Saccharomyces cerevisiae S288C: one gene and its partners. The gene in region 3 interacts genetically with the main gene of each other region. Each region holds a gene or a part of one and is shown on either strand. Other genes may lie near its edges. The genes, in order: DGA1, SXM1, PMA1 and CCC2.

Region 1 (4,758 bases), on a different chromosome or scaffold from region 3:
ATAGAGCCTATTGGTCGGACACTCTCATAACGCTATTAGTGGAACACCAGAAGGAAATTACTATAGACGAAATAAGCTCCATGACTTCGATGACCACTACAGATATATTACACACAGCAAAGACACTGAATATCCTGCGATATTACAAGGGTCAGCATATTATTTTCCTGAATGAAGATATTTTAGATAGGTACAATCGACTTAAAGCCAAAAAGAGAAGGACAATAGACCCTAATAGACTCATATGGAAACCACCGGTATTTACTGCCTCTCAGTTACGCTTTGCCTGGTAAGCTATGTAGTGCTTTCCTAAACTTACATTCAAACAACTTCTAATGTAAAAGCTTTAAATAAATGAAATTTACGTAAAACAATCACTAATATTCAACGAGAACTCCAGTATTCCTGTAAGTTAATACTCTTACTTAAGATATACAGCCCAAACACTAAAAAATCCTTATTTATTCTAACATATTTTGTGTTTTCCAATGAATTCATTATTACCCAACTATCTTCAATTCTGCATCCGGTACCCCATATTTTTCTCTATTTTCGTAATATAGTCTTTTCAACTCCGCAATATACAAATCATGGAAATGATTAACAACATCATCTGGCGGATTTGTTATTTTCTTTTCAACGTATATAGGCCTTCCAACAACAACATTGATAGGCGCTCTAAATGGCAACAAACCGAAATCGTAATTGAATAATCCTCTTGCGTAGAAAATGGGAATGGTAAAACCAAAGTTTTCTTTGAACCATAGTTGCATTTTACCCAGGACTGAATCTTTTTTTGTGCTCAGAACATTATAACAGTCCACCTCTCCAAATGCAAACACAGGCACTAGGTTAATATTCCCCGTTTGAATGGCCAGTTTAATAAAACCCTTTCTTTTGTTTAAAATCAGTTGTGTACCATTTGTTGAACTTAATAAAGATTCCCTAGCGCCACCAACAACAATGCAGATCGACTGATTTTTGCTTAGAGTCCTTAAAGCGTTTTTCCGAGATACTGAAGAAATACCTAACGCCAATAAGTAGTCTCTATACAATGGGATATGAAATTGTGTGACCAGTGTCATCAGAGAAATAGGAATACCTGGGAAAATCTTGGAATAGTTACAACCTTCTGTTGCAAACGCTCCAAACGCACCAAGTGCTCCTATGCCGTGTGGATGGTAACCAAATAAGTACGTTGGCCCTGTACATTCCTGGTTGCGATAGTCAATAGTAGAGTTGCTTTTGAGATTAATGGAATACTTAGTTGGCCACAATCTAATCTTGTAATTTTTTTCGTTAACTCTCTTATTTTTTGAAAGCGTAAAAGTTGGTTTTAAATTGACAGTTTTAATCAAACTTATAGGGAAATAATCACAATACCACTTCCAAATGGGCAATGAACGAAATCGAAGAGAGTATCGATTTACCACTTCGCCAGTTGCAGGAGACCTATCGAAAAAAAAATAAATCATATATGGAATAGCAAGAACCCACAGTGCTGGTGTCGAGATTGCAAATAACGTAAATATGGAGAAGAGTACAAATGAAGAAGTGTGCCATGCTACAGCCAGAGTTTGTAACCTTCTTTCAAAAGGGGTCGCCAATGGACAGCATGACTCTAGTTGTGGTTTGAGAGTCTGTTCTCTTTTATCGATGCTTGACAAAGACTTATTCTCATGCCTTTCGGTAATACCGGCTGTAGGGCTTCCTTCTTCCTTCTTCCTTCTTCTTATATCATTGAATGTTCCTGACATTTATGTGACTGTTCAAACTGTATGCCTCTGCGTTTCCTTATGTATATGTAAGTGTATGTGTAAATGGAAATGAGATGATAGTAAACCTCCTTAATGGAACAAACGTGATCTGGGATAAACAGGAAAAAAAAAAAACTTTGGCGGAAGTGTAGTGAAAGATCCAAGCCTGATAGACCACTGTCGTGCTTGGTTAAGTACAGAAATGCGGTGGAAGTACTGGTCTGCTTTGAGGAATAAGTTTCCAAATTCAGTCTTCTCTTTTTCTAGCCTTCCCATTACGTCAATGCTGACTGAATCTATCAATTGAATAAAAAACGCACATCATAAGCCTTTGTCGGCCCGTAACTTAGTTGCCTGCAGAGAACAAAGTACAGAAAAACTTCTTGCTCTGATTACCAGTTACAATAACGACTAACTAATATTTAAATAAAATGTACATCTATCTACTCTTTCAATCTTTCCGTCTTGTTATATATCGAAACCACGGTCTCTTAGTTGATGAACGGTCCAGATCCAAGTCGATGCCGCTTCGTCGACATTGTTAGAAACGTAGCTCGATTTAGATTCTTTACCCCCCGTGGTGAAGTACTTCCCGTTATCTTTTTCGACAGATAAATTCGGGTCCAATGCACACTTCAAAGAAGCTAGTGAACCTTGTTCGTTCGATACGCCGAAAAAGAACCCTACGACCTGGAACAACAGCCAAAAGAAAATACCGACGATGGGTAACCTTGTCCAATAACTGAATAAGTTTGTGTTCATCACCAGACCCGGATGAACGGAGAGACAAAGAACGTCAGGGTATTTGATGGCCAACATCTTCGTGCATTGGATTAGCGCGGTTTTACTCATCGCGTACCTAAACCATGTGAAAAGCATATTAGGTTTGTAATCCCACGTCTTGCTCAGTTTCCAGTACATGAACTCTAGATGATGGCCTATCGAGGACAGGGAAATGATCCTGCCACGACAATGGCGCAGTAAAGGCAATAATCTCATCGTGAAGATGAAGTGCGAAATGTAGTTAGTCTGCAATTGCACTTCAAATCCGTCCTTCGTCATTTCTAAGGGCACCGCCATAATCCCTGCATTGTTAACAAGCACGTCTATGTGGTCTTCCAGCTTGAGAATTTTAAGTGCCGCTCTCTCCACACATTTTAAGTCTGTCAAATCCAAATGGATATAGTGCAGTGACCCTAGACGCTGAATGCTTGGACCTGGGCCCGCGCCTGGGCTTGAACCGTCGTCATCTTCATGGCACCTCTTCTTTGCTTCTGCCAGTATCTCCTGGATTGCTTTCGAAATCTTGTGAGAGTTTCTCCCACAAATATAAACGACAAACCCATGCAAATACAAATGCAAGACAGTATACCACCCAATACCCGTATTTCCGCCTGTTACTACAGCAATCTTCCTCTCCACAGCCGGGTCGTAGTATGGCAATATTCGTGGGTCTAACATTCTGCCTTTGGCGTATGTCTCGTACTGCGGATGCCTCTAATACCAATCAGGCCTACAACCATTGTCTTCCCCGTTTCTACAAAGACAATAGTGTGTGTGCATTGTAAGTGATGCATCATGCACCATAATGATTTGTTTATATATACCCATGTACACTTGGGTCTCATTTCCTCAATTTTTTCATATCTTACCCGCATATCTTTTCTTTCAATGCCCTACTTCTATACTTCAGGGTTTTCCAAAAAAAAACAGTGATTAAGCAGGGCGGCATTTTCTTTATCTTGGGGCTTAGAAGACGCGAAAGACCTGTGGCTCAATACCTTTTTCGGAATATGTCAACAACACGAAACGCCAAAATTCTTGGCCCTGATTCAGGTACCGCGGGGGCCACGAATTTTGGCGTTCTGTGCAGGAATGACGTCTCTGCCGATTATGAAACTAAACAAGGTATGCTATCGGAGGTGGTCTGAGTTACTCGACAGATTTTTCTGACGAGAGTGAGTGTCGTTCGAGATATTTAAGCTCCAAAATATTTCCCTCACCTAGCTTACATTTTGGTTTATTCTTTCTTACCTCTACCTTTCTAAGTTTTTCTCTTCTGCTTCCTTTTCTTTTCACTTGGCATATTTTATCTATAAAAAAGTTTTGCAAGCGTTTAAGCAACTAGTTTAGCACAACATCCAACCAAGAGGTTTCTCGCGTATTTCTCTCATTTTTTTACCCATTTTACAAATTTTTTTTGCTATTTGAGCCATAGTACCCATTAATAGGTCTCGTCCATTCCCTTGTTTTTTTTTTATTGTTTCAATTACACTACATAATTAAAAATCACATCACTTTCACTCTCACCTTAGTCGTTCTTTATCAACCAAAAATAAAAAAATGCTTCAATCCGTTGTCTTTTTCGCTCTTTTAACCTTCGCAAGTTCTGTGTCAGCGATTTATTCAAACAATACTGTTTCTACAACTACCACTTTAGCGCCCAGCTACTCCTTGGTGCCCCAAGAGACTACCATATCGTACGCCGACGACACCACTACCTTTTTTGTCACCTCAACGGTCTACTCCACGAGCTGGTTCACCTCAACTTCAGCCACCATTACCAATGCGGCCTCCTCCTCCTTGTCCACCTCTTCGGCCTCTGGATCTGTAACCCCAGAATCCACCCATGAAATTACCTCCACCTCGACTATCACGTCCACTTTGCTGCTAACCCTTCATGACTCCACTACTTTGTCTCCATCATCTACTGCAGCAAGTGTCAGTGACGAAGATTCAAACAACAAAGATGCAAAGGTCAAGTCCTTTGAACAGGCTTCAACTTCCAATGGTTGCGTCCCAATCACAAAGTTTGTCACTGTCACCAATGAGCCCGTTACCCAGTACGTTACAGTCACCCCAAATACGACTACACAATACGTTACTGTCACCGGTGCACCTTCTGTTACCACTACCTCTCCAGGTAACGTACAATGGTACAACACCACTTCGATTACTAATTCGACCAGTTGGTGAATTATGAGTTCAAACGTGTCCTTTT
Region 2 (8,361 bases), on a different chromosome or scaffold from region 3:
ACTGCGAAGGGGGAACAAAATCTAACGGAAATTGGGCTTATCAAACATGTTTAAATAGAAAATTCTATAGCAGCTCATCGCTACCCGATTTGGGACAGATGGAGGGGGAAAAATTTTTTTTCCTTTTCTTTCCTAGTAAACGCGAAATATAGAGAAAAAAAATGAAAGAAGTCAGATAAGCGGAAATGATATTAATTGAAATTAATCTAATTAATTTTTTCAGAAGAAAAAAAAAATAAGTGACTCGGAAGGGAAATATGTACTGTCTTTTCTTAGTTAACCAACTATGGTTGTGACGTAAAAGTGGAGTGCTTGCTTGATGTTCCAGATGGCCTTACTGTTAACGATGCCAGATGCAGTTCAAAAAGGATAAACGATTGTGGGGGTCTTTTGACAGATCTTCTTCGCGTGGGATACTTTCGTGATCTTTTTTTTTCTTTTTTCTTTTCTTACATTATGTGGTGAACTCTATATAAGTATTTATGTGCCTAGAGATTATTTTTGTATTCTGATGCGTGAAAGCATTTTATGCATGATATCCTCTATTCCATCTCAACGTCACTATATCCGGCTTCCTCCTCGCCGTCGCTCTGCTCCGTTTCTAAACGGCCATCTTGCTTAGATGAGGTATGCTTCTGTTCCTCTTCGTTGTCACTATCACCTTCTTCTTCTTCTTCACTGCCATAAGATTCTTCACCGTCCTCTATAAGGCCGGCATCATCGAGTTCTTCGTTATATTCAACGTCGTCTTCGTCCTCTTCGACAACTGGTTCGGATGAGTGGATGTCGCCTGCTTCATAGTTCAAAGTTTTGAATTTATTTATAGTACAGTCTAACCTTGCATCCAGTGCTAGTAGCCTTGGTAATAAGTCGGAACGCCTTTTCAAGGTGGAATGTAACGACGATAGAGTAGACATCAAATTTGGAATAGAAACCAAATAGCCACCGTGTATGATTAAACACCATTTTACCCAAACATTCAATGGGCCTTGACGGTGGGTTTGTCTTGCAATCCTCTCTGCCAACCTTTCTAAGAGAATGACAGCCAGTGCTGGTTTCAGACGGAAGATAGTATCCCTAATGACCCTCTCGTCACGATTATTGAGCACTGTTTCCAACAGTGAATGATCATTTGATTGTAGTGCTTGCGACAGAATTACTGTTACCGTCCCGGTTGTCGTAGCAGTCTTGAGATTGGAACCTTTTAAATTTGTTTTTTTCCCACTAATCCTTGCGACGGTGCTTGATTCTAGCTTATCACCAAATGTTTCTGTTAATAGTTCATTGGCCTGTGGGGGCTTGGCCTGTTCTTGTTCCAAAGAAGTCAATTCTCTTTCCCAGCTCTTTATAGCGTCATCAACATGCTTGAAGTTATCTCCAGAGGTGACTCTTGCATTACCTTCCACGTAGTTGGTGGCTGAGGCAAGATCTTTACCGTGTAGATCGCGATCGGCGGACTTATTTTTATTATTCCAATTTAGGGAAATTTCGACGGTATATTCATTAGGGATTTCTCTCCACTGCAAGTTCTTGAAGTAAGGCATAGTAGCATTTTGTAACCACGATACGTTCAAAAGGTCTTTATTAATAAATGCGTTATAAATTGGAACTTTCCTGCCGTCTTTACTGACGATTTGAATCTTTTTGCTGGATTTTTTGGACTTGTTGCCTCTTTTCTTTGTTGAACTCGATACCAATGGATCAACAAAAATTTCCAAGCTACCATCCTCGGTAGTGACTGCGATAGAATCGGCTTGGCCTGAATGAGATAACTCCTTGATATCTGATTCAGCCACAAGGACGCATTTGGTCATACCGGAATGAATATCATATACGTTCAAGAATCTATCACCCTCTGCGCCTGATATGAAAAATTCATTAGTTATAACTTGCAATGTGGACACTGGAGATACATGACCGGGAAATGTCATTACGACTTTTTTCTCTTCGATGTCTATTAAAGAAATGGAATGGGATGCAACCAAAAGTTGTGCAACAGAATCGCCTGCTGGAACAATGGTTAGTTTATTCAATTGAACGCAGTTGTTTATTCTAAAATGTTGTAACAGTTTGAATTGTAACAGATCGAACTGATAGAATGCGTCGCTGGAGTCGATACACCACAGTTGATTACCCATCAAGTCTATGTCTTTGATTTCGTAAGAATTCCCCGTAGTGAATTTATAGGTGACTTCGTTGGCCAATACGGAATATAGCCAAATTTCACCGTTATTCATACCCAATATAATAGCCACTGTGTCGGAAGAAGCCAGGTTTACCCATTTTAAGCACGTCACCTTCAATTTCGAGTCCTCTAAATACAGAAAATTCTCATTCCACACTGTATCAACTCCGGAGGAAGTGGCCCTTTGAGTGGGCTGTACACCAACGCGTTGCTTGTCCAAAGCTACAGTGACATAACACAAATACTGACCTGATGGGTCATAAGCGGACTGTAGAACAGGAGAATCCATCGGTAATGAACAATTATAAGGCAAATGTGTCTTTTACCCTCTTGCTAAGCCAAGTTTAAACTATATATGCTCTGCATCTATCTTTACATACATATATCCTATCCAATACTTGTTAATTTTTTCACCTCATCGCTTCAGCTGCGAAAGATTAGAAAAAGAAATGAAAAAAAATTGGATAAAATTTTTTTGTCAAGAAGCTCATCCCCGTGTTAAATGACAATCAAAGAATAAGGGGAACTGTACAACACGTTCAACCAAAACTATTGTAAAGAAATGCCACCACTATGCAGCATAGCCTGTTCATGCGAATAGTCGCCGCAAAAATTACGATCTGGTTTAATCAGCTCGGGCTCTTATCTTTGGCGTATTCCAGTATGTGCAATTAACTCTTGCACCACTTTAAAACGCCCAGCCCGCTGCACTCTCCCTCCTATATAAATGGAAGCGGTTTTTGGTCGCGCTTTTCGCCCTCTGCTCGCCTTGTCGATTTCTATCGTGCAGAGTTACCAGTATAAGGTGGGCAAGAAATCATAACGATATTTACTAATACAGTTGTACCTATTAATTAATTGATGGCTGGAGACTCCGATAATGTGTCGCTTCCCAAGGGTATGTTAGTTATATTGTTGTTGCAAAACTCAAGCTTTGATGCGGGTACTGAGCGGTTATACTAACTTAGAGAAAACACTGAATGATCTTAGCGACCGTACAAAAGATGATATCTGAAATACTGGACCAGGATTTGATGTTTACCAAGGATGCAAGAGAAATCATCATCAACTCCGGCATAGAATTCATAATGATCCTGTCCTCGATGGCTTCCGAAATGGCGGACAACGAGGCTAAGAAAACCATAGCGCCCGAGCACGTGATCAAAGCGCTAGAAGAGTTGGAGTATAATGAGTTTATACCATTCTTAGAGGAAATATTATTGAATTTTAAGGGTTCCCAGAAGGTGAAAGAAACTAGGGATTCCAAGTTCAAGAAGTCAGGTCTCTCGGAAGAAGAGCTGCTACGACAACAAGAGGAGTTGTTTAGACAGTCAAGGTCCAGATTACACCACAATAGTGTATCTGATCCGGTTAAGTCGGAGGATTCTTCTTGAATAGAAGCTTCTAAACAAAGTAATGCTATATACGAAAATAAACCACATGGGAATATGTTAAGCGCATGCATGTATGTAATAAAAACGAAGACAAGTCCAAAAAAAAAAAAGAACGAAAAAGAAACAACTTTTATATTTGTATATTAGAGTATAAACTAATATCCTTATTTCAAACTATCACATTCCACTATTTTTTTTGTGTTCTCCTCAGTGTTGAGAAACAAATTCCAGAATTACCTGCAAGGAATCTCTCTTAGATTCATCCAGATAATTTATGATTTTTTCGTACTTACCGGCATCTTCGTTTTGCAAATTCTTGAAAAAGGTATGTACTTCCTGGAAAACATTAATTTGGTCTAACACTGTCTCCTTCATATCATCATCACATTCGATAAAGTATTCTTCTTCTTCTTCTGGGGTCAGGTCTCCTTCTAAGGATTTGCCCTCGGTAACAGCATCACGGTTTCTAATTGCCTTTGGCAATGATAATGTCAATTCCACCAGTTTATTGGTCAGGTTATTTAGTAGTGGGCTGACACTATTAGGAACTTCAGGCATCTTCAAAAGGGTTAAAATGACCAGGACTTGTAATTTGATGGCGAAGACACTGTAGAACTTTTCATTAAACCAATTGGTAAAGAAATTTATAGTAAAACCTTCATTTTCCATTATTTGTAAAGTTTCGATTGGTTTAGCAAACAAATTGGCCAGTCCCAGTTTAACGATGCATTTAGAGTCCAATCCTAGCTCATCATTAGTGGATACTTTGATGGCTTTGCTGAATAATGGAATGTCTCTCATGGACAGTGCGAAGTACATTAGAATTTGCATAACATGCTCGATGTCGTAGTCAACTTCACTTTCCAGTTTAGCAGAGAGAATTTCTAGCAGAGGTTGAACATAAGTTTGATCTTGTGGGAAGCCGGTCATCACGATGGTTTCAAAAAAAATACTGTAGGCCTCAAAATAGTCCATGGCATAAGTTTGGAAAGAATCCAATATATCATGTAACAACTCCCATATTGGTGGTGCAATTTGGTTATAAAGCAGATGCGAAGAAATAGTTAAAGCATCCAGTAAGTCGACAGCTTCCGTAATAAAAGAAATTTGTGCATGAAGTACAACAAACTTGACCACGGGAGCTAAGGACTCGATTAATGGAACTTTATTCATTGACATGACCATAGTAGTCATTGTTTGTAACAATCCACTGGCCTGGATTTCCTGCTCTTGGTCACTTGCGCTGTAGGTTTCCGATGGATTTTCTACCAATGCTTGAGCAATACGTAAAAATTGTTCGACTAGGTTTGAAGCTAAATCTTTAGCAAATGGGGATAGTTCATCTGAAAATCTCTCCACCAATGCTTCCATGACTTCAGATAAGATATCGATTTCAAAGATTTTAGACAATTTCAATAGCTTTTCCATCATACCTGGAACATGAGCAGAGACCGCTGGGTGGATTTGAGGATTGGATACAATTAAACATTTAATGGCATCTGCGGCCTCAATTTGGACTGGTAAAACGTTACTGTTTAAGAAGTTGGTATATGTTAACTCAAATAATTGTGACAATATGTTCATATCTTTAAATTCTTCCGAATACAGCGCTATCGTTTCCAAACTTCTTGCAACCAAAAACATGTACTTATCCTGCGATAACAATGGCACGATGAAGTGTCCAAAAATATTCTCCAGAACGGATGGCTCATCTATAAACGAAAACAAGTTAGACAATGTTCTCAAAGCACCCTCTTCTTTAAATGCCATGTTAATATCACTGGAATTGGCATCGAATCTAGTAAAAATATCATTAATGAACGGTAAAATATTGTTCAGTTTCTCAGGACGTTTGGACCCAATCAAGAATATGAAATCTGCTGAAGCAGCATCTGGCGTAGAGCCTTCTCTGTTAATGTCAAAATAACGCCTGGTATATTCCTCTTGGTCATCTTCTAATAATTCGATGGATTGTTCATTAGCACACAAACATGGGAAGATGACGTTCTCAAAAATAATTTGTAAATGTGGCTCAATTAAAGGATAAAGTTGATCTATTGTAACACATTTCTCTAGGAATGAAATTAAGAAATACAAAGAGGAATCGGATAACCATAGTGAATTATTACCCCAAGCTTCAATATCCTTAAAAAATTCTCGAAGAATTATAGGAACAATAGTATTGAAGATATAGTCGATAAATTCCTTGGTGATGGCCTTTGTAATTTTGTTGTATCTTTGCAGGAATCTGTTTAAGTTACCGAACCCCCATTTGTTCACTTTAACCCTTTTGTCTAGGGACCTATCTGCGGGATCCAGTTCCATTACTTCGACTGGTAATGGTTTGGAACATAAATACAAATGTAGTTGCACCCATGACATAATTCTTTCAGGTTGGCTGAAGTATTGAGGCAAGTTGTTCAAACATGCATACTTGAATGACTTCAAAATGAGGTACAATATTTCATTAGATCTGTAATCCGTTTGACTACCGATATTAGAAGCTATCCCTTCCACAATAGGGAAAAGTTCTTCGATAACAGAATCAATATAATCTCTCGACCCAACCATGTCCCACCTATGAGCTTTACAAAGTTGGAACAGTAGTAGTAACCCGGGATAAATGTACGATGCGTCACCGCTCGATAATAAATTCTTGATAATAGGTGCTAAATCCCAATCTTCCTGACCAACAAGTATCCCATTTATGGTTTCAGTCAGGATAGGCCTAATGTGGTTATTTTCACAGTTTTTAACTAAAGTCTCGATTAACCTTTCCTTGATCGAAAGCTTTTCGTCAGCTTTTATACCATCTTCTCTCTTAGTATCCCATGATCTGTGAATCTTATTCTTCAAATAAATAGCAGAAGAAAGACGAACATTTAGCGCAAAATTATCATCAGACACTATATTAAGCAGAAAAGAAGTAAACCCAGGTTGCTTCTGGAACTCAAATAACTGCTGTTCTGCCTCTTTGATAATTTTTGCATCAGCAACCATAGTCTGCTCAATGCAGCTCAAAATTGCCTGTTCTTGTACCATTTCCTTTTTTGATTTATCTCCTTTGTTGTAGACGGGCGCAATGTTAAATGTTTATGACACAAATCGAATAGCAAATCTACACTGGGATGAAGCAGAGACTGCGTACTTGATATTTTGGTTGTACTTTATTGATTGAGATACTTGTTGATAGGTACTCATCTTACCATCTCATTTGGAAAAAAAAATATCACAGAAAAAAAAAAGTGAAAAACTTGGCTAGCGACGTCCGGTTGCGCGCGGAATAACGCTAAGAAACGTGATAAAAAAGTGGCGTCTGTATTTATTTCATTTAGTGTTGTCTAGATAGAAATGTACGTAATACTTTATGTAGACCTACGTTGAAGCATATATGGTAATCATTTGTAGAAGTCGAATTTATCGACGGTATTATCTGTCTTGACTTGAGTGGCGTAAGCTTCTTCCAGATCGCTTTGTAAGATGACATATCTGTTTTTCCTCACTGCTCTTAAACCAGCTTCCTGCATGATCGCTGCAATAACAGCACCTGATAGAGAGTCGTTACGAATAATAAGCGAGTCTAAGTCCGCTTCTGGGGCAAGGGACATCTTACTGGCAATGGTACCGAAAATCAAACGACGTTCACGCCTATCACGAAGTGAGGGAAACTCAATCTTTCTATCTAATCTGCCTGGTCTCAGCAAAGCTGGGTCCAATGTGTCTGCCCTGTTTGTAGCCATGATGACTTTAACGTTGGTGGATTGATCGAAACCATCCATTTGTGTCAACAACTCAATCAGGATACGCTGTACTTCACGATCGGAACCCGTTTGAGCATCAAAACGCTTTGTGGCAATGGAATCTACCTCATCTATGAATATAATGGATGGAGCATTTTCCCTGGCGAGTCTAAAGACGTCACGAACCATTCTTGGACCTTCACCAAGATATTTGTGAACAAATTCGGAGCCATTAACTCTTATGAATGCAGCTTTTGTACTATTGGCGACGGCTTTAACAAGCATCGTCTTACCGGTACCTGGTGGACCATATAATAGAACACCCCTAGGAGGGTCAATACCGATTTGCTCGTATAGATCAGCCTGAACTAATGGCAGCTCTACGGCTTCCCTGATTTCTTGCTTTTGCATATCTAACCCACCAACATCTGCATAAGTGACGTCAGGTTTTTCGTTTTCGCCCATTACGGATATGCTAGAGTCGGAATCAGGTGGTAGGATGTCAACTAAAGCATTTGAATGACGATGTAAAGCTACAGACATAGATGGCTTTAATAGTTCACGGTCTAGGGTTGATAATATTCTAACGACATAACTCATACCTGTGGTACTAGAAACAATACCTGTGTTCTGATCAATAGGTTCTAAGAATTGCCCGATAACTAATGGAACCGACTGGATTCTCTTTACTTCTTCTTGAGCTCTCTTCAATTCACGTTTCAAATGGCGTTGTTCGTCCTTAATATAGTCTTCTTGCAAAGTCAGCAGTTCATACTCTTTTTCTAATTTCTTCAATTTGAAATATATATCAGAATTCACATTAGACAGGGCACTGTTATTGTTGACTGTACCATTGAGTTGAGCCAACAATGATGCGTATGATTTGACGGCTGGTTTTTCTTCGACTGCCTTTTCGACAGGTGTCACAATACCTAGTTCCTCCATTCTTGTTGTGGTTTTTACTTTATAAATACTTGAATTTTATCCGATTGCCTCTTGTATAACTTATGAGTGAAAGGAAATAGGCAGAATTGGTTTGTCC
Region 3 (8,456 bases):
CAATTTCTGCTGCACCTTTAATGAAAAACCTGTAAAATGGTTTTTTATTTTTGCCTTCTTTGTACTTTACCACTAAGCCGGCCCATTTACGAGAACTTTCAAACGGAATTGTTTGAACAACTTTTTCGATATTAAACTTTTCCATCGGTTGATCTCTCAAATATTGCAATTCTCCCGGTTGTAATCCTAATGATAATCTTGCCAAACTGAGTAAGGCTGTTTCCGTTTTAGAGCCAATAAAGGGTTCTTGCCTACCCTTGTTGACATTTTTGAATAATTGATCCTCGTCATCTTCCCTGTTGCCTTTTTTAAAAAACGATAATCTAGATTTACACTTATCTAAAAAACTCAAATTTTTTGACATATTTTTACTACCATTTGTATTTTTATCGTTTTTCTTATAATCTCTGTTTTCGAAGGCGGTAGAATTCAGGACAATATTGGCTAATAAATCATTTCTCAAGGATGACGAACAATTTTCTTCAAAAACTTTCTTAGAATTCAGCTTCCTTTGTTCGCTAACGGGCAACGATTTACTATCATCAAATTTAGAATTGCCCGGGAAGCCACGAACGACAGTCATGACATTTTCTGTCAAAGTGCCAGTCTTATCAGAGCACACTGCAGTAGCAGATCCCATCGTTTCACAGCTTCTTAAAACCCGTACTAAATTACCGTCTTTTGTCATTCTTGTTGTTGCAAACGCTAAGGCCAAAGTTACAGCTAATGGTAAACCTTCCGGAACAGCCACCACAATAACCGTGATAGATGTGATAAAAATGTTCATAAATTTAGAACCCTTTTGAGCGGGATCTAGATCATGGAACCTGCCATCCTCAGGTATTATGTAAAATAAGTACCTAGTGAAAAGGACCAAGAAAAGAATTATAGCAGACACGCAACCGTAAACGGATATATTATCAGCCAATTGGCTCAAATGTAACTGTAATGGAGTACTTTCAGGTTCGGCATTTAATGAAGTCATGGTTTGACCGTAAACTGAGTTTATACCCACGGACGTGATGACACCCCTGCCCAAGCCAGAGAGAATTCTGGAACCTGAAATCAACATACAATCAGCAATCTTGTTACCGTCTTCGTTAACGTCACCTATATCTAATGGTTTGCTATGGTTATGACTATCGATAGAATTAAATTTTTTGAAATCTCTTAATGAGTTATCCACCGGAAATTTCTGTATTGTGTTAGATTCACCAGTGATGGATGATTCATCTGCCTCACACTTCCCTGATATCATAACACAATCAGCGGGGACAACATCACCGGTTTGTAATGAAATGACATCACCGACTAAAACGTGGTGAATGGAAATTAATATTTCCTGATCATTTCTTATGACTATAATTTTACGGTTTTCCTTCTTTTTATTTAGCTTTGCAAATTGCAACTCCTTCTGGTAATCGTTAGCGGCACTCACTAGAACTACCACAAAGACCGCAATCATGATAGCAACCCCTTCAATCCAGTCAACTTGCTTAATTTTATTTCCTTCAGGATCATACTGTGGAGGTTGCATCCATAGTTCGTATAGACCTAAAACAAAGGAAACAACAGCGGCGACTGTCAGTAATTGCATTGTTTTGTCATTAAAAGCAGCCCATACTAATTGTAAAAAAGACTTTGGTATTCTTTCAGGAAGTGAATTATCGCCATAATTTTTATACCGGTTTGTCTTTCGATAATTTGATATTTCTGGAAGAGAAATGCCTGCATTTTTATCTGTTTTCAAGTATTTGAAGAGGCTGTTAGACTCATATCCAAATAATCTGACAAATGATCTTATTGATTTAGGGTTATGAAGATCCGAAAGTTGACTTTTTGATAATTTGAAATTATCGTAGACTCCGTTCTCATTTCCCGTATACGATGGTTTGTTATTTTCATTATTCGCTAGTAAAGCAGAATTTTCGTCTTGTCTAGACATTATTTTTTTTGTTACGCACACAGTTTTTTTTTTTTTAGAACCACTTTTCTAAACTTTATTTGTTCAAGTTTTATTTCTTTAATTCAATGTCGTATATATGTGATACAATTCTCTTAATACACTTAGTTTTTACTGGAGGCGCATGAGTTTTTTGACGTTTTCTTAAGCCTTTCTATTGAATGAAAATTACCAGAAAAGCCCCTTCTTCCTCAAATTTATGAAAAAATGTTTATTCTTAACCTAAGCCTTCTCAATTGAATCGTGCCAACCTGACTAAAATGTAGTTTGGGGAAGTGAAAAAATCTGAAGAGATTATTTAATTTTTCGTTAAGCCTGCAATTTATTTTGGTAATAATTGCTAGAAAGAAATCGAATATTTAACGCAATTCAAATAAAGCCTTTCCTTGGGGGGGGGCTGATACTATTTGAATGTTTTTGGAAGGCGCCCATTAAATGCAATGCCAAGTGGCGATGATAATGAATTATGAAGATTAGCATTTGTTTAAAAAGCGTGGAGGGCGCTTCTAGGGCCTGAGCCTCCTAATTTTCTTTTCCCCCTGACAAATGATGGAGAAGCTTCTTTGCCGGGTAAAAACCCTTTTTTTTTATCTTTTCTGCGGGCGGATAAAGCTGTTAGTGCCACATGTTTCTATACAAACTGTATTAAAGTAAAAAAATTAATAGACAATTTAGGCCCCTCAAATGGGTAAAATAGAACATATATCAGTATGCACAGCTCACTATTTTAAAAGCGGCAGGCTTGGAGCTGTAGGACCACACTACTGCGACAAAAAAAGATAAAGTTGTGTTTTATTTATGTTTTGCCGTAAGATCGATACTTTTCTTATTCTCATCAAGAAAACACAAACTGCCAAGAACTAAGAAAAGAAGAGCCGTAAACAATGCTTGTAAACCGAAGTATGAAAAGAAAAACTTGATAATTAAATCATCCCCTTTGGCTCAAATATTTATTTTGTATTATTCATGCTTGATTAGTTTAAGAGTGAACTTTACTATCTTAATTTTATTTTAGCCTTTTCAGCTTATGGCACAATAGTGAAAACAAGATCATGTTAAGTTCTGTACCAGAAGAGAGAACCGATAAATAGTTTAATAAGCAGATCAATGCCAAGAATAAGATAAAACAACTATGGAGACTGATGTAAATATACTTGAAGCCGGGCAATAATATAAGCACCGTGAGCCGATTCTCCTCGATCCTACACTGCACCATATAACGAATGGTCTTGGACTATGGAAGGCAGTAACCAACAACAGAAAAGAGAGATTAATTAGAAAAAGACATTTCTCGAGAGAAAAAAAGTAAAGACCTTATCGTACAACTGTTACTGACATTTTTATTTTAAGAAGCTAAACCCTTATTATTAGCGCGCCCAAGTAGGCGCAAAACTAGAGAAGTCGCAGATGCATCCACCCACTTTTTGCCTTATTTTTCCTTAATTTCAGAAATATAGTTAAAATGAAAAACAAGGACAAGAAAAGAACGGGAAAAAGAAAAGGGGGATTAGCAAACAAAGAAAAGTCCAATAAAATGATTACAGACAGCATTGGATGCGATGAGATGGCAACCAGCGAGATGAGAGCATAGGATTTTCATCCTAGCTGCTTTAGGGAAGACGCACAAAACTTTGTTATGTTTGTAGTAAATATAGAAAAGAAAACAAAAAAGTGCTCGGACGAATCCGGTAGAGCTGTGTCTAGCCTCAATAAGTTTGCCGCATTTGGTAAATCAAAACTGTTTTTCTCTCCGTCATTTGTTTTGAAGCTTGTTCTGTTAGTTTAGGGAAATAGAAAAAAAAAAAAAGGGAAAAAGAAAGAAATCATATGCCCAATGGAGTACGAGAATTGGGGAAAAAGCCTCCATCGGGTTTTTAAACGGGCGTATACATGCTTACCACACTCCCGTAAGCAAGAACAAAGAATTTATCTTGATAAACTGCGTAATAAGTCAATCAATTGCTCTATATACGCGCATATACGTAAAACACAGAATCACATTTTAGTCAGGCCCAAGCCGTATAGGGCGAAAAAGCCCGCGCTTATCAAGTCATCGTAACGAATCAGATCTTTCCAACTGCTATCGCATACGTAAGAGAATTGAAATATTTCTCGGGTACGATACGACATTTTTTCTTTACATTTCTTTACTAAACCCGACGGCACGGGAAAGAAGATGAGACTCGGAACGGAAGCTAGAAGAAAAAGGAAGGACACAGAGATTTTCCGAGATTAACTCAGCTTTGCTAAAGTGCAAAAAGTCGTTTACGTCACCATCGCTGACGGGGAAAAAACAAAACAAGCTTCCTGAAACGGAGAAACATAAACAGGCATTGCTGGGATCACCCATACATCACTCTGTTTTGCCTGACCTTTTCCGGTAATTTGAAAACAAACCCGGTCTCGAAGCGGAGATCCGGCGATAATTACCGCAGAAATAAACCCATACACGAGACGTAGAACCAGCCGCACATGGCCGGAGAAACTCCTGCGAGAATTTCGTAAACTCGCGCGCATTGCATCTGTATTTCCTAATGCGGCACTTCCAGGCCTCGAGACCTCTGACATGCTTTTGACAGGAATAGACATTTTCAGAATGTTATCCATATGCCTTTCGGGTTTTTTTCCTTCCTTTTCCATCATGAAAAATCTCTCGAGACCGTTTATCCATTGCTTTTTTGTTGTCTTTTTCCCTCGTTCACAGAAAGTCTGAAGAAGCTATAGTAGAACTATGAGCTTTTTTTGTTTCTGTTTTCCTTTTTTTTTTTTTTACCTCTGTGGAAATTGTTACTCTCACACTCTTTAGTTCGTTTGTTTGTTTTGTTTATTCCAATTATGACCGGTGACGAAACGTGGTCGATGGTGGGTACCGCTTATGCTCCCCTCCATTAGTTTCGATTATATAAAAAGGCCAAATATTGTATTATTTTCAAATGTCCTATCATTATCGTCTAACATCTAATTTCTCTTAAATTTTTTCTCTTTCTTTCCTATAACACCAATAGTGAAAATCTTTTTTTCTTCTATATCTACAAAAACTTTTTTTTTCTATCAACCTCGTTGATAAATTTTTTCTTTAACAATCGTTAATAATTAATTAATTGGAAAATAACCATTTTTTCTCTCTTTTATACACACATTCAAAAGAAAGAAAAAAAATATACCCCAGCTAGTTAAAGAAAATCATTGAAAAGAATAAGAAGATAAGAAAGATTTAATTATCAAACAATATCAATATGACTGATACATCATCCTCTTCATCATCCTCTTCAGCATCTTCTGTTTCAGCTCATCAGCCAACTCAAGAAAAGCCTGCTAAGACTTACGATGACGCTGCATCTGAATCTTCTGACGATGACGATATCGATGCTTTAATCGAAGAACTACAATCTAATCACGGTGTCGACGACGAAGACAGTGATAACGATGGTCCAGTTGCCGCCGGTGAAGCTAGACCAGTTCCAGAAGAATATTTACAAACTGACCCATCTTACGGTTTAACTTCCGATGAAGTTTTGAAAAGAAGAAAGAAGTACGGTTTGAATCAAATGGCTGACGAAAAAGAATCTTTAGTCGTTAAGTTCGTTATGTTTTTCGTCGGTCCAATTCAATTCGTTATGGAAGCCGCTGCTATTTTGGCTGCCGGTTTGTCCGATTGGGTCGATTTCGGTGTTATCTGTGGTTTGTTAATGTTAAACGCTGGTGTTGGTTTCGTTCAAGAATTCCAAGCTGGTTCTATTGTCGATGAATTGAAAAAGACTTTGGCTAACACTGCTGTTGTTATCAGAGACGGTCAATTGGTTGAAATTCCAGCCAACGAAGTCGTCCCAGGTGATATTTTGCAATTGGAAGATGGTACTGTTATCCCAACTGATGGTCGTATTGTCACTGAAGACTGTTTCTTGCAAATCGATCAATCTGCTATTACTGGTGAATCTTTGGCTGTCGACAAACATTACGGTGACCAAACTTTCTCTTCTTCCACTGTTAAGAGAGGTGAAGGTTTCATGGTTGTTACCGCTACCGGTGACAACACTTTCGTTGGTAGAGCTGCTGCTTTGGTTAACAAAGCCGCTGGTGGTCAAGGTCATTTCACTGAAGTTTTGAACGGTATTGGTATTATCTTATTGGTTTTGGTCATTGCCACTTTGTTGTTGGTCTGGACTGCTTGTTTCTACAGAACCAACGGTATTGTTAGAATCTTGAGATACACTCTAGGTATTACTATTATTGGTGTCCCAGTCGGTTTGCCAGCTGTCGTTACCACCACTATGGCCGTCGGTGCTGCTTACTTGGCTAAGAAACAAGCCATTGTTCAAAAGTTGTCTGCTATTGAATCCTTGGCTGGTGTCGAAATCTTGTGTTCCGACAAAACCGGTACTTTGACCAAGAACAAGTTGTCCTTGCACGAACCATACACTGTTGAAGGTGTTTCTCCAGACGACTTGATGTTGACTGCTTGTTTGGCTGCTTCCAGAAAGAAGAAGGGTTTGGATGCTATTGATAAGGCTTTCTTGAAGTCTTTGAAGCAATATCCAAAGGCTAAGGACGCTTTGACCAAGTACAAGGTTTTGGAATTCCATCCATTTGACCCTGTCTCCAAGAAGGTTACTGCCGTTGTCGAATCTCCAGAAGGTGAAAGAATTGTTTGTGTTAAGGGTGCTCCATTATTCGTCTTGAAGACTGTCGAAGAAGATCACCCAATCCCAGAAGATGTCCATGAAAACTACGAAAACAAGGTTGCTGAATTGGCTTCTAGAGGGTTCCGTGCTTTAGGTGTTGCTAGAAAGAGAGGTGAAGGTCACTGGGAAATCTTGGGTGTTATGCCATGTATGGATCCACCAAGAGACGATACTGCTCAAACTGTTAGCGAAGCTAGACACTTGGGTCTAAGAGTTAAGATGTTAACTGGTGATGCTGTTGGTATTGCTAAGGAAACTTGTAGACAATTGGGTTTGGGTACCAACATTTACAACGCTGAAAGATTAGGTCTAGGTGGCGGTGGTGACATGCCAGGTTCTGAATTAGCTGATTTTGTTGAAAATGCCGATGGTTTCGCTGAAGTTTTCCCACAACATAAATACAGAGTTGTTGAAATCTTGCAAAACAGAGGTTACTTGGTTGCTATGACTGGTGATGGTGTTAACGATGCTCCATCTTTGAAGAAGGCTGATACTGGTATTGCTGTCGAAGGTGCTACTGATGCTGCCAGATCTGCTGCTGATATTGTTTTCTTGGCTCCTGGTCTATCTGCTATTATTGATGCTTTGAAGACCTCCAGACAAATTTTTCACAGAATGTACTCTTACGTTGTTTACCGTATTGCTTTGTCTCTACATTTGGAAATCTTCTTGGGTCTATGGATTGCTATTTTGGATAACTCTTTGGACATTGATTTGATTGTTTTCATCGCTATTTTCGCTGATGTTGCTACTTTGGCTATTGCTTACGATAATGCTCCTTACTCTCCAAAGCCCGTTAAATGGAACCTACCAAGATTATGGGGTATGTCTATTATTTTGGGCATAGTTTTAGCTATAGGTTCTTGGATTACCTTGACTACTATGTTCTTACCAAAGGGTGGTATTATCCAAAACTTCGGTGCTATGAACGGTATTATGTTCTTGCAAATTTCCTTGACTGAAAACTGGTTGATTTTCATTACCAGAGCTGCTGGTCCATTCTGGTCTTCTATCCCATCCTGGCAATTGGCTGGTGCCGTCTTCGCTGTCGACATCATCGCTACCATGTTTACCTTATTCGGTTGGTGGTCTGAAAACTGGACTGATATTGTTACTGTCGTCCGTGTCTGGATCTGGTCTATCGGTATCTTCTGTGTTTTGGGTGGTTTCTACTACGAAATGTCCACTTCTGAAGCCTTTGACAGATTGATGAACGGTAAGCCAATGAAGGAAAAGAAGTCTACCAGAAGTGTCGAAGACTTCATGGCTGCTATGCAAAGAGTCTCTACTCAACACGAAAAGGAAACCTAATCCTGTTGAAGTAGCATTTAATCATAATTTTTGTCACATTTTAATCAACTTGATTTTTCTGGTTTAATTTTTCTAATTTTAATTTTAATTTTTTTATCAATGGGAACTGATACACTAAAAAGAATTAGGAGCCAACAAGAATAAGCCGCTTATTTCCTACTAGAGTTTGCTTAAAATTTCATCTCGAATTGTCATTCTAATATTTTATCCACACACACACCTTAAAATTTTTAGATTAAATGGCATCAACTCTTAGCTTCACACACACACACACACCGAAGCTGGTTGTTTTATTTGATTTGATATAATTGGTTTCTCTGGATGGTACTTTTTCTTTCTTGGTTATTTCCTATTTTAAAATATGAAACGCACACAAGTCATAATTATTCTAATAGAGCACAATTCACAACACGCACATTTCAACTTTAATATTTTTTTAGAAACACTTTATTTAGTCTAATTCTTAATTTTTAATATATATAATGCACACACACTAATTT
Region 4 (8,523 bases), on a different chromosome or scaffold from region 3:
AAAGATTTAGTGTTTCGGTAGCAACCTCTTCGCTAGTGAAATTTATTCCATATTTTTCATTTTTTTCGCAAAAGTTATATTTATCTGAAATATCACCATCTATGCGATCGGTAAACATGACTTCTTCATTCTCCGTTCTGCAAATCAAACAGCTTTTCTTGTTGTACAAAGCTCGTTGTCTGAAACCACAGATATGGCATGTCTTATGATGGCATGGTGTTAGAGATACGTATGTTAACTTGCGCGCACAAATTACACATAATTCATTTTCTTCATCAGTATCATCTGCGCTTGAAGTGGTGAGGTTGGGTTCAGCAGAAAGGTTATTTTTCTTTTGCTTTCTTCTGAAATTCTTCCTGTCGTTGTGAGGTTTTGTATTATTTTGGGGCCCTTGAGTACGACGGAAGTTACGTGTCGGAGTAACGTTTTCTTTCACTGATTCGCTCATCCTAATTCTTGAAAAGAAGTATAGCCACTATTTTTTCGACGAAAGAGACTGTATCAAAATGCACTTTATGGATCTTTTTCAGCTAGGTATGCGCTCGACGATTTGTTGAATATGGCTGAGTGGGCAGTCGTTCAGATGCCCTTTTCAAAATCTTAAGAGAAAATCAGAAAATATAGCTATTATTAAGAGTGACCGCGAGTATGAAACTTTCAGTGTAACCTTTCTTTATTCGAGATAATGCTTAATTACAAGTCTTCCGAATATCTAATTTTTTTTTTTTTCATTTTTAAATTTCAGTTTTTACCGCATGCTTTTAATGCAGGGATATGTATAACGAGGTCACTCCGTCACACATGACAGAATTGCGTTATAGTGATACAAAGGTTTATGTAACTAGGTAGAAAAATCGTCATTAAGTTTATTTTTAGAATTCAGATCGATCACTGTGTTAATATGAGTTCCTGAATTGTACTCTTGCTTCTACATCTACGCTGCTTTTTCTAGAGACCAGAAATTTACGATCCCGTCGTCACCGCCTGTTGCAAGTATAGTTTTACCATTTAACTCCAACCACTTCACAACGTTGATTTCATAAACTCCATGACATAATGCACGTTTAGCAAAAACTTTCCATTCTCCGTCTACTTCTTCATAGACCGCTAGTACTCCATCCGCTCCTACACTAGCAATGAGGCCATTAAAGCCCCATGCAACATTGTATACCTGTCTTTTGTGTACATCCGGGAGAATAGCTTCACAAACCCATTCTTGTTGATCATCCTCGTCGTCACCCATGTATTTCCATACCCGTACAGTGGAATCGTCGCTTCCACTGCACAGTCTAAACACGCCCTCAGTCTTGTCAAAATCAGAAGACCAAACAGTTCCTTCATGGCCATTTAAGACAGCAACACATTCCCAGTCATCGTCATAGTCTTTCCATATCCTGACGGTGTCATCATAAGAACTTGAAGCCAGTAATGCTTCAGATGGATGCCATATAACATGTTTAACGTCTTGTGAATGTTCTTGCAAAACACTAATACACTCATATTCCTCGCCACTTTCATCTGTTTCCCATATCCACACGCTTTTATCTCTGGAACAGGTTGCTAGGTAATATCCATCATTCGACCACGCTACACCTTTTACTTCATTTTCGTGACCTTCGATAATAGCTAGCAGGTCCATCTCGAAAGTTCTGTCAGCAGATTCTTCCTTAGCCCAGATAGATACAGTGGAATCAAAAGAGCCAGCCGCTAACAGCGAAGTGTGAGGTCTCCACGCCACAGATCGAATCGCCTTTTTATGAGCAGTCTCATCTAGCACATCAATTAACGTAAAATCGTCATATTTCACGCTAACTAGCTTAATTTTTCGATCAGTTGAACCTGTTGCTAATATACCTTGAGAAAAGTCAAAAGACCATATCTTTTCCTTGTAAAGTTTCAAAGACTTAATCAGATTGATAGACGCCATTACCAAATAAGTAAACCAATTGAACTATTAAAATGTCGTGGTATAGCCCGATTTTGATTTGTGATATCTACAAATCTAGTATTTATTCGCAATTAATGAGGCAAAGACGATACAATATTCGATGTGAGATTTTTCAAAACACGGCCCGCTGAGAGCAGAAAGTTTTAGATGACCTATTTGAAGGCAATCACGATGGTATTTTTCAAGAAAATAAATAGTAGTAACACTGCTATGCACATCAGAGTCAGATTCCTTAAATTCAAACGTTTCTACAATTAGTATGACCTTTTCTTGAAGATCTTTTTCTCCTTATAAAGGCAACACAAAACAAGATAGAAGTGCAAAGGTATTTTTTGTTTTTCACGTGATAAAATCGGCTTCGAGAAAGTAGAAAAGGGTATTATGATTTATTACAGGCTACCTGCACCATCTCAAAGGTTTTACGTTACTAAGGAGTGAATCAGGTTTTGATAAATATTTACACTATCTTTTACAAGGAAGATGTCGAATAAGCAGGCGGTTCTGAAGTTAATCAGTAAAAGGTGGATAAGCACAGTGCAACGTGCCGATTTTAAGCTGAATTCCGAAGCGCTTCATAGTAATGCTACGGTATTTAGTATGATTCAGCCAACTGGGTGTTTCCACCTTGGTAATTATCTAGGTGCTACACGTGTTTGGACAGACTTATGTGAATTAAAACAACCTGGCCAGGAATTGATATTTGGAGTTGCTGATTTACACGCTATCACTGTTCCAAAGCCAGATGGAGAAATGTTTAGAAAATTTCGCCATGAGGCAGTAGCAAGTATACTGGCTGTCGGTGTAGATCCAGAAAAGGCTTCGGTGATCTACCAATCCGCCATCCCTCAACACAGTGAATTACACTGGTTGCTTTCTACTCTTGCCTCGATGGGATTACTTAACCGCATGACGCAATGGAAATCAAAATCGAATATCAAACAATCAACTAATGGGGATTATCTGGTTAACGATTCTGACGTGGGAAAAGTTAGACTGGGCTTATTTTCGTATCCTGTTTTACAGGCAGCGGATATTCTACTTTATAAATCTACACACGTTCCTGTTGGCGATGATCAATCGCAGCATTTGGAACTAACAAGACACCTTGCTGAAAAGTTTAACAAAATGTACAAGAAAAATTTTTTTCCTAAACCTGTAACTATGTTGGCACAAACGAAAAAAGTTTTGAGCTTAAGCACGCCTGAAAAGAAAATGTCCAAGAGTGATCCGAATCACGACTCTGTAATTTTTTTGAATGATGAGCCTAAGGCAATTCAGAAAAAGATTAGAAAAGCTTTAACAGATTCCATTTCTGATAGGTTCTACTACGACCCTGTAGAAAGACCAGGCGTATCGAATTTAATTAACATTGTCAGTGGCATTCAAAGAAAATCGATTGAAGATGTCGTAGAAGATGTATCTCGTTTCAATAACTATAGGGATTTCAAAGATTATGTTTCAGAAGTGATAATTGAGGAATTGAAAGGCCCAAGAACAGAATTTGAGAAATATATCAACGAACCGACCTATTTGCATAGTGTCGTTGAATCTGGCATGCGCAAAGCGAGAGAAAAAGCAGCAAAAAACCTGGCCGACATTCATAAAATAATGGGCTTCTGACTGTCCCCGGCTTTAGGCTGCTGCAAACGCAATGTAAATAATAATACAGTTTAACTTGTACGTATCTTTGTTATTTCAGAATATGCAAGATTCCTCACTCGGCAGATCTCATCAATAAACGTTAGTATCTTGAAAAATACGCAGATGTTGGTACAGTCTCTTGCAGAGGGCCAGCACCGTTAGAATGTTGTGTTGCCACCGTCTGGCTCGAAAACAGGTCGATCTGTGTAAGTATTGTCCTGGGTGCAGTTATTTGTAGTAGCGATTTTCGCGGGCAGTGGAAAAGAACGGGTGCAGTGCGGCGATGAGTGCAATTAGCTGCCGAAGGGTTTGCACCGGTGATTCCGAGACCTTTTGCACACACTTGTATATATTTAGGGAAGTCACGGTAACTAATGGATTTCTTCTCAAATTTGAGACATATGGATTAGACTTTAATTCTGCCTGGTACTAAGCTACTTTTCAAAGGTATTTGAGATATTTCGTAAATTTTGCGGCCAAGGAGTTGAGGTGTTTAATACTTAAAACGAAATGAGAGAAGTGATACTTGCTGTACATGGAATGACATGCAGCGCCTGTACTAATACAATCAATACGCAGTTACGAGCTTTAAAGGGTGTAACAAAATGTGATATTAGTTTAGTGACTAATGAGTGCCAGGTGACATACGATAACGAGGTTACCGCCGATTCTATTAAGGAAATTATAGAGGATTGTGGATTTGACTGTGAGATACTAAGAGATTCTGAAATTACAGCCATAAGTACGAAGGAAGGACTACTGAGTGTACAAGGTATGACCTGTGGGTCTTGTGTTTCTACAGTCACCAAACAAGTGGAAGGCATTGAGGGTGTTGAATCGGTAGTCGTTTCCTTGGTAACGGAAGAGTGCCATGTTATTTATGAACCGTCCAAGACAACGCTAGAAACCGCCAGAGAAATGATTGAAGACTGTGGATTTGACTCAAATATTATTATGGATGGCAACGGGAATGCAGACATGACCGAAAAAACGGTGATCTTGAAAGTAACTAAGGCTTTCGAGGACGAATCCCCACTCATACTTTCTTCAGTAAGCGAAAGGTTTCAATTTTTGTTAGACCTAGGTGTAAAATCGATAGAAATTTCTGATGATATGCACACACTCACCATAAAATACTGTTGTAACGAACTCGGCATTAGAGATTTATTGAGGCACCTTGAGAGGACCGGATATAAATTCACTGTATTTTCCAATTTAGATAATACTACCCAGTTAAGGCTTCTCTCTAAAGAGGACGAGATAAGATTCTGGAAAAAAAACAGCATAAAATCCACCCTTTTGGCTATAATATGTATGCTATTGTATATGATTGTCCCTATGATGTGGCCAACAATTGTTCAGGACCGCATATTCCCTTACAAAGAAACCTCCTTTGTTAGAGGTCTGTTCTACAGAGATATTTTGGGTGTAATATTGGCAAGCTATATTCAGTTCAGCGTTGGTTTTTACTTTTACAAGGCAGCATGGGCATCTTTAAAGCACGGTTCAGGAACCATGGATACACTAGTTTGTGTTTCCACTACTTGTGCATACACATTTTCTGTGTTTTCTTTAGTTCACAATATGTTCCATCCCTCAAGTACTGGCAAACTCCCAAGGATCGTTTTCGACACATCAATCATGATCATTTCATATATTTCCATCGGGAAATATTTGGAAACTTTAGCTAAATCACAAACATCAACCGCACTTTCTAAATTAATTCAGCTCACTCCATCGGTGTGTTCAATTATATCTGACGTGGAGCGGAATGAAACCAAGGAAATTCCCATAGAATTATTGCAAGTGAACGATATAGTGGAGATTAAACCAGGGATGAAAATTCCTGCTGATGGCATCATAACAAGAGGTGAATCTGAAATTGACGAGTCGTTAATGACAGGCGAATCCATTTTGGTGCCCAAGAAAACTGGTTTTCCGGTTATTGCTGGTTCTGTTAATGGACCTGGACATTTCTACTTCAGAACTACTACCGTTGGGGAGGAAACTAAATTAGCAAATATTATCAAGGTAATGAAAGAAGCACAATTGAGTAAAGCTCCCATTCAGGGGTATGCAGATTATTTAGCCTCTATTTTTGTTCCGGGGATCCTAATTTTGGCAGTATTGACTTTCTTTATTTGGTGTTTTATTTTAAACATCTCGGCTAATCCTCCCGTCGCTTTCACCGCAAATACTAAGGCTGATAATTTTTTTATTTGCTTACAAACTGCTACTTCTGTTGTCATCGTCGCATGCCCATGTGCATTGGGACTTGCCACGCCGACTGCTATAATGGTGGGTACAGGGGTTGGAGCTCAGAATGGTGTCTTAATAAAGGGCGGAGAAGTATTGGAAAAATTCAATAGTATTACTACTTTTGTTTTTGATAAAACAGGTACCTTAACTACAGGTTTTATGGTTGTGAAAAAGTTCCTTAAAGATTCAAATTGGGTTGGAAACGTGGATGAAGACGAAGTTCTCGCCTGTATAAAAGCAACGGAATCCATTAGTGACCATCCAGTTTCGAAAGCAATTATACGTTATTGTGATGGTTTGAACTGTAATAAGGCTTTAAATGCCGTTGTTTTAGAAAGCGAATACGTGCTTGGAAAGGGAATAGTCTCAAAGTGTCAAGTTAATGGAAATACTTATGATATTTGTATTGGGAACGAGGCGCTGATTTTGGAGGATGCATTAAAAAAATCCGGATTTATTAACAGTAATGTCGACCAAGGAAACACTGTATCATACGTATCAGTAAACGGGCATGTGTTTGGCTTGTTCGAGATTAATGATGAAGTTAAACATGATTCTTACGCAACAGTTCAGTATCTACAAAGAAATGGATATGAAACGTATATGATTACTGGCGATAATAACTCAGCAGCAAAAAGAGTCGCTAGAGAAGTAGGTATAAGCTTCGAAAATGTTTACAGCGATGTGTCACCCACAGGCAAATGTGATCTCGTGAAAAAAATTCAAGATAAAGAAGGTAATAACAAGGTTGCTGTTGTTGGCGATGGCATTAACGACGCTCCCGCTTTAGCACTGAGTGATCTAGGTATTGCCATTTCAACAGGTACGGAGATTGCTATTGAAGCAGCTGATATTGTTATACTGTGCGGTAATGATCTGAATACTAATAGTTTGAGAGGACTGGCCAACGCCATCGATATTTCACTAAAAACGTTCAAAAGAATAAAGCTGAATTTGTTCTGGGCACTTTGCTATAATATATTCATGATTCCGATTGCTATGGGTGTGCTCATTCCTTGGGGCATAACTCTTCCTCCAATGCTCGCCGGTTTAGCGATGGCATTCAGCTCGGTCAGTGTCGTTCTAAGTTCATTGATGTTGAAGAAGTGGACTCCACCGGATATTGAATCACATGGGATTTCAGATTTCAAGTCCAAATTTTCGATTGGGAATTTTTGGTCAAGGCTTTTTTCTACGCGGGCTATTGCAGGTGAGCAAGACATAGAATCACAGGCCGGACTAATGTCAAACGAAGAAGTCTTGTAAATAACAGGTAAGTCTAATTTATTTAAAAAAATCCACGAGCATATAGATTTATAACAATAATAATAATTAATATTCATCAATTTTTTAGTAAATTCATATATTTTACTCCTACTCTATGTATTTTCAGTAAGTCTACTAGTCGTATTACCCGTCGGTTTCAAGGGATATTATGGAGGTAATAAGGATTTTTTTACCGATTTAAAAACCCATTATATCCCTCTTAGAAAAATTTTAGTATTCTTAGATAAGTTGCTAGATTTACCAATATCAAAGGGAAGACTGCAGGACAACACAAAAACACAAGAAAAGGAGGACAAAAAATGCAGGTTAAATCGATTAAAATGAGATGGGAGTCTGGTGGTGTTAATTACTGCTATCTATTGTCCGACAGTAAAAATAAAAAATCGTGGCTAATCGATCCAGCAGAGCCTCCTGAGGTTCTGCCAGAGTTGACTGAGGATGAGAAAATAAGTGTTGAAGCAATTGTTAATACACATCACCATTATGACCATGCAGATGGTAACGCTGATATCTTGAAGTATTTAAAAGAGAAAAATCCAACTTCAAAAGTTGAGGTTATAGGAGGGTCAAAGGACTGCCCAAAGGTTACGATAATTCCGGAGAATTTGAAAAAGTTACACCTAGGTGACTTAGAGATTACTTGTATTAGGACGCCCTGCCATACCAGAGACTCTATCTGTTATTATGTGAAAGATCCAACAACAGATGAGCGCTGCATTTTTACTGGCGATACACTATTTACCGCTGGTTGCGGTAGGTTTTTTGAGGGTACAGGCGAAGAAATGGATATAGCTCTGAACAATTCTATCTTAGAAACTGTGGGCAGGCAGAACTGGAGTAAAACGAGGGTTTATCCAGGACACGAATACACAAGTGATAATGTAAAGTTTGTTCGTAAGATTTACCCGCAAGTTGGTGAAAATAAAGCATTGGATGAGTTAGAACAATTCTGCTCCAAGCATGAAGTCACAGCAGGGCGGTTCACTTTGAAAGATGAGGTAGAATTTAATCCATTCATGAGATTAGAAGATCCAAAGGTCCAAAAAGCTGCCGGAGATACGAATAATTCATGGGACAGAGCTCAAATTATGGATAAATTGAGAGCTATGAAAAACCGTATGTAGGAAAGCCAACAGAGTATAATATACTTAAAAATATTCTTTTAGCATACCCTTTTATTTCAATGTATAAGAGTTTTTGGAACGCTACTTTATAACATTCAGGTCTGTTCACTAGAACTCTTGTAGTTGTGCCGTCATAAAAATTAGTCTTCGCGTGGCTGAAAGAAAAGTTCCAATAATACGGGCGGCTCGAGTAGAGTAATCATTGCCGTCACAAAACCATTTTCGGGTAGAAATAAAGCAATGGATATTTGAGCTCCAGAATTA

The links.
Region 1: mutations in PMA1 (region 3) and DGA1 together harm fitness more than expected from each alone (negative genetic interaction), as found in Saccharomyces cerevisiae (2 studies listed by BioGRID).
Region 2: mutations in PMA1 (region 3) and SXM1 together harm fitness more than expected from each alone (negative genetic interaction), as found in Saccharomyces cerevisiae (2 studies listed by BioGRID).
Region 4: mutations in PMA1 (region 3) and CCC2 together harm fitness more than expected from each alone (negative genetic interaction), as found in Saccharomyces cerevisiae (2 studies listed by BioGRID).

Annotation. Positions count from the first base shown.
Region 1 is NC_001147.6:793,576-798,333, forward strand, and holds DGA1 (diacylglycerol O-acyltransferase), read right to left. Parts: upstream 1,758-4,758; coding exon 501-1,757; downstream 1-500. Other genes in the region: NuA4 histone acetyltransferase complex catalytic subunit ESA1, read left to right, coding at 1-293; ENV9 (Env9p), read right to left, coding at 2,226-3,218; SRL1 (Srl1p), read left to right, coding at 4,101-4,733. UniProt on the Saccharomyces cerevisiae protein: Catalyzes the terminal and only committed step in triacylglycerol (TAG) synthesis by using diacylglycerol (DAG) and fatty acyl-CoA as substrates. Required for storage lipid synthesis.
Region 2 is NC_001136.10:1,261,584-1,269,944, reverse strand, and holds SXM1 (Sxm1p), read right to left. Parts: upstream 6,622-8,361; coding exon 3,787-6,621; downstream 1-3,786. Other genes in the region: UTP5 (Utp5p), read right to left, coding at 543-2,474; negative cofactor 2 transcription regulator complex subunit NCB2, read left to right, coding at 3,047-3,083, 3,176-3,579; proteasome regulatory particle base subunit RPT3, read right to left, coding at 6,978-8,264.
Region 3 is NC_001139.9:479,410-487,865, reverse strand, and holds PMA1 (H(+)-exporting P2-type ATPase PMA1), read left to right. Parts: upstream 1-5,199; coding exon 5,200-7,956; downstream 7,957-8,456. Other genes in the region: calcium-transporting ATPase PMC1, read right to left, coding at 1-1,945; YGL006W-A (uncharacterized protein), read right to left, coding at 2,333-2,443; BRP1 (Brp1p), read right to left, coding at 4,229-4,606; YGL007C-A (uncharacterized protein), read left to right, coding at 4,839-4,925. UniProt on the Saccharomyces cerevisiae protein: The plasma membrane ATPase of plants and fungi is a hydrogen ion pump. The proton gradient it generates drives the active transport of nutrients by H(+)-symport. The resulting external acidification and/or internal alkinization may mediate growth responses.
Region 4 is NC_001136.10:1,001,576-1,010,098, forward strand, and holds CCC2 (Cu(2+)-transporting P-type ATPase CCC2), read left to right. Parts: upstream 1-4,099; coding exon 4,100-7,114; downstream 7,115-8,523. Other genes in the region: E3 ubiquitin-protein ligase HEL2, read right to left, coding at 1-448; iron-sulfur cluster assembly protein CIA1, read right to left, coding at 935-1,927; tryptophan--tRNA ligase MSW1, read left to right, coding at 2,429-3,568; hydroxyacylglutathione hydrolase GLO2, read left to right, coding at 7,435-8,259. UniProt on the Saccharomyces cerevisiae protein: Copper-transporting P-type ATPase necessary for the proper uptake of iron. Required for export of copper from cytosol into extracytosolic compartment.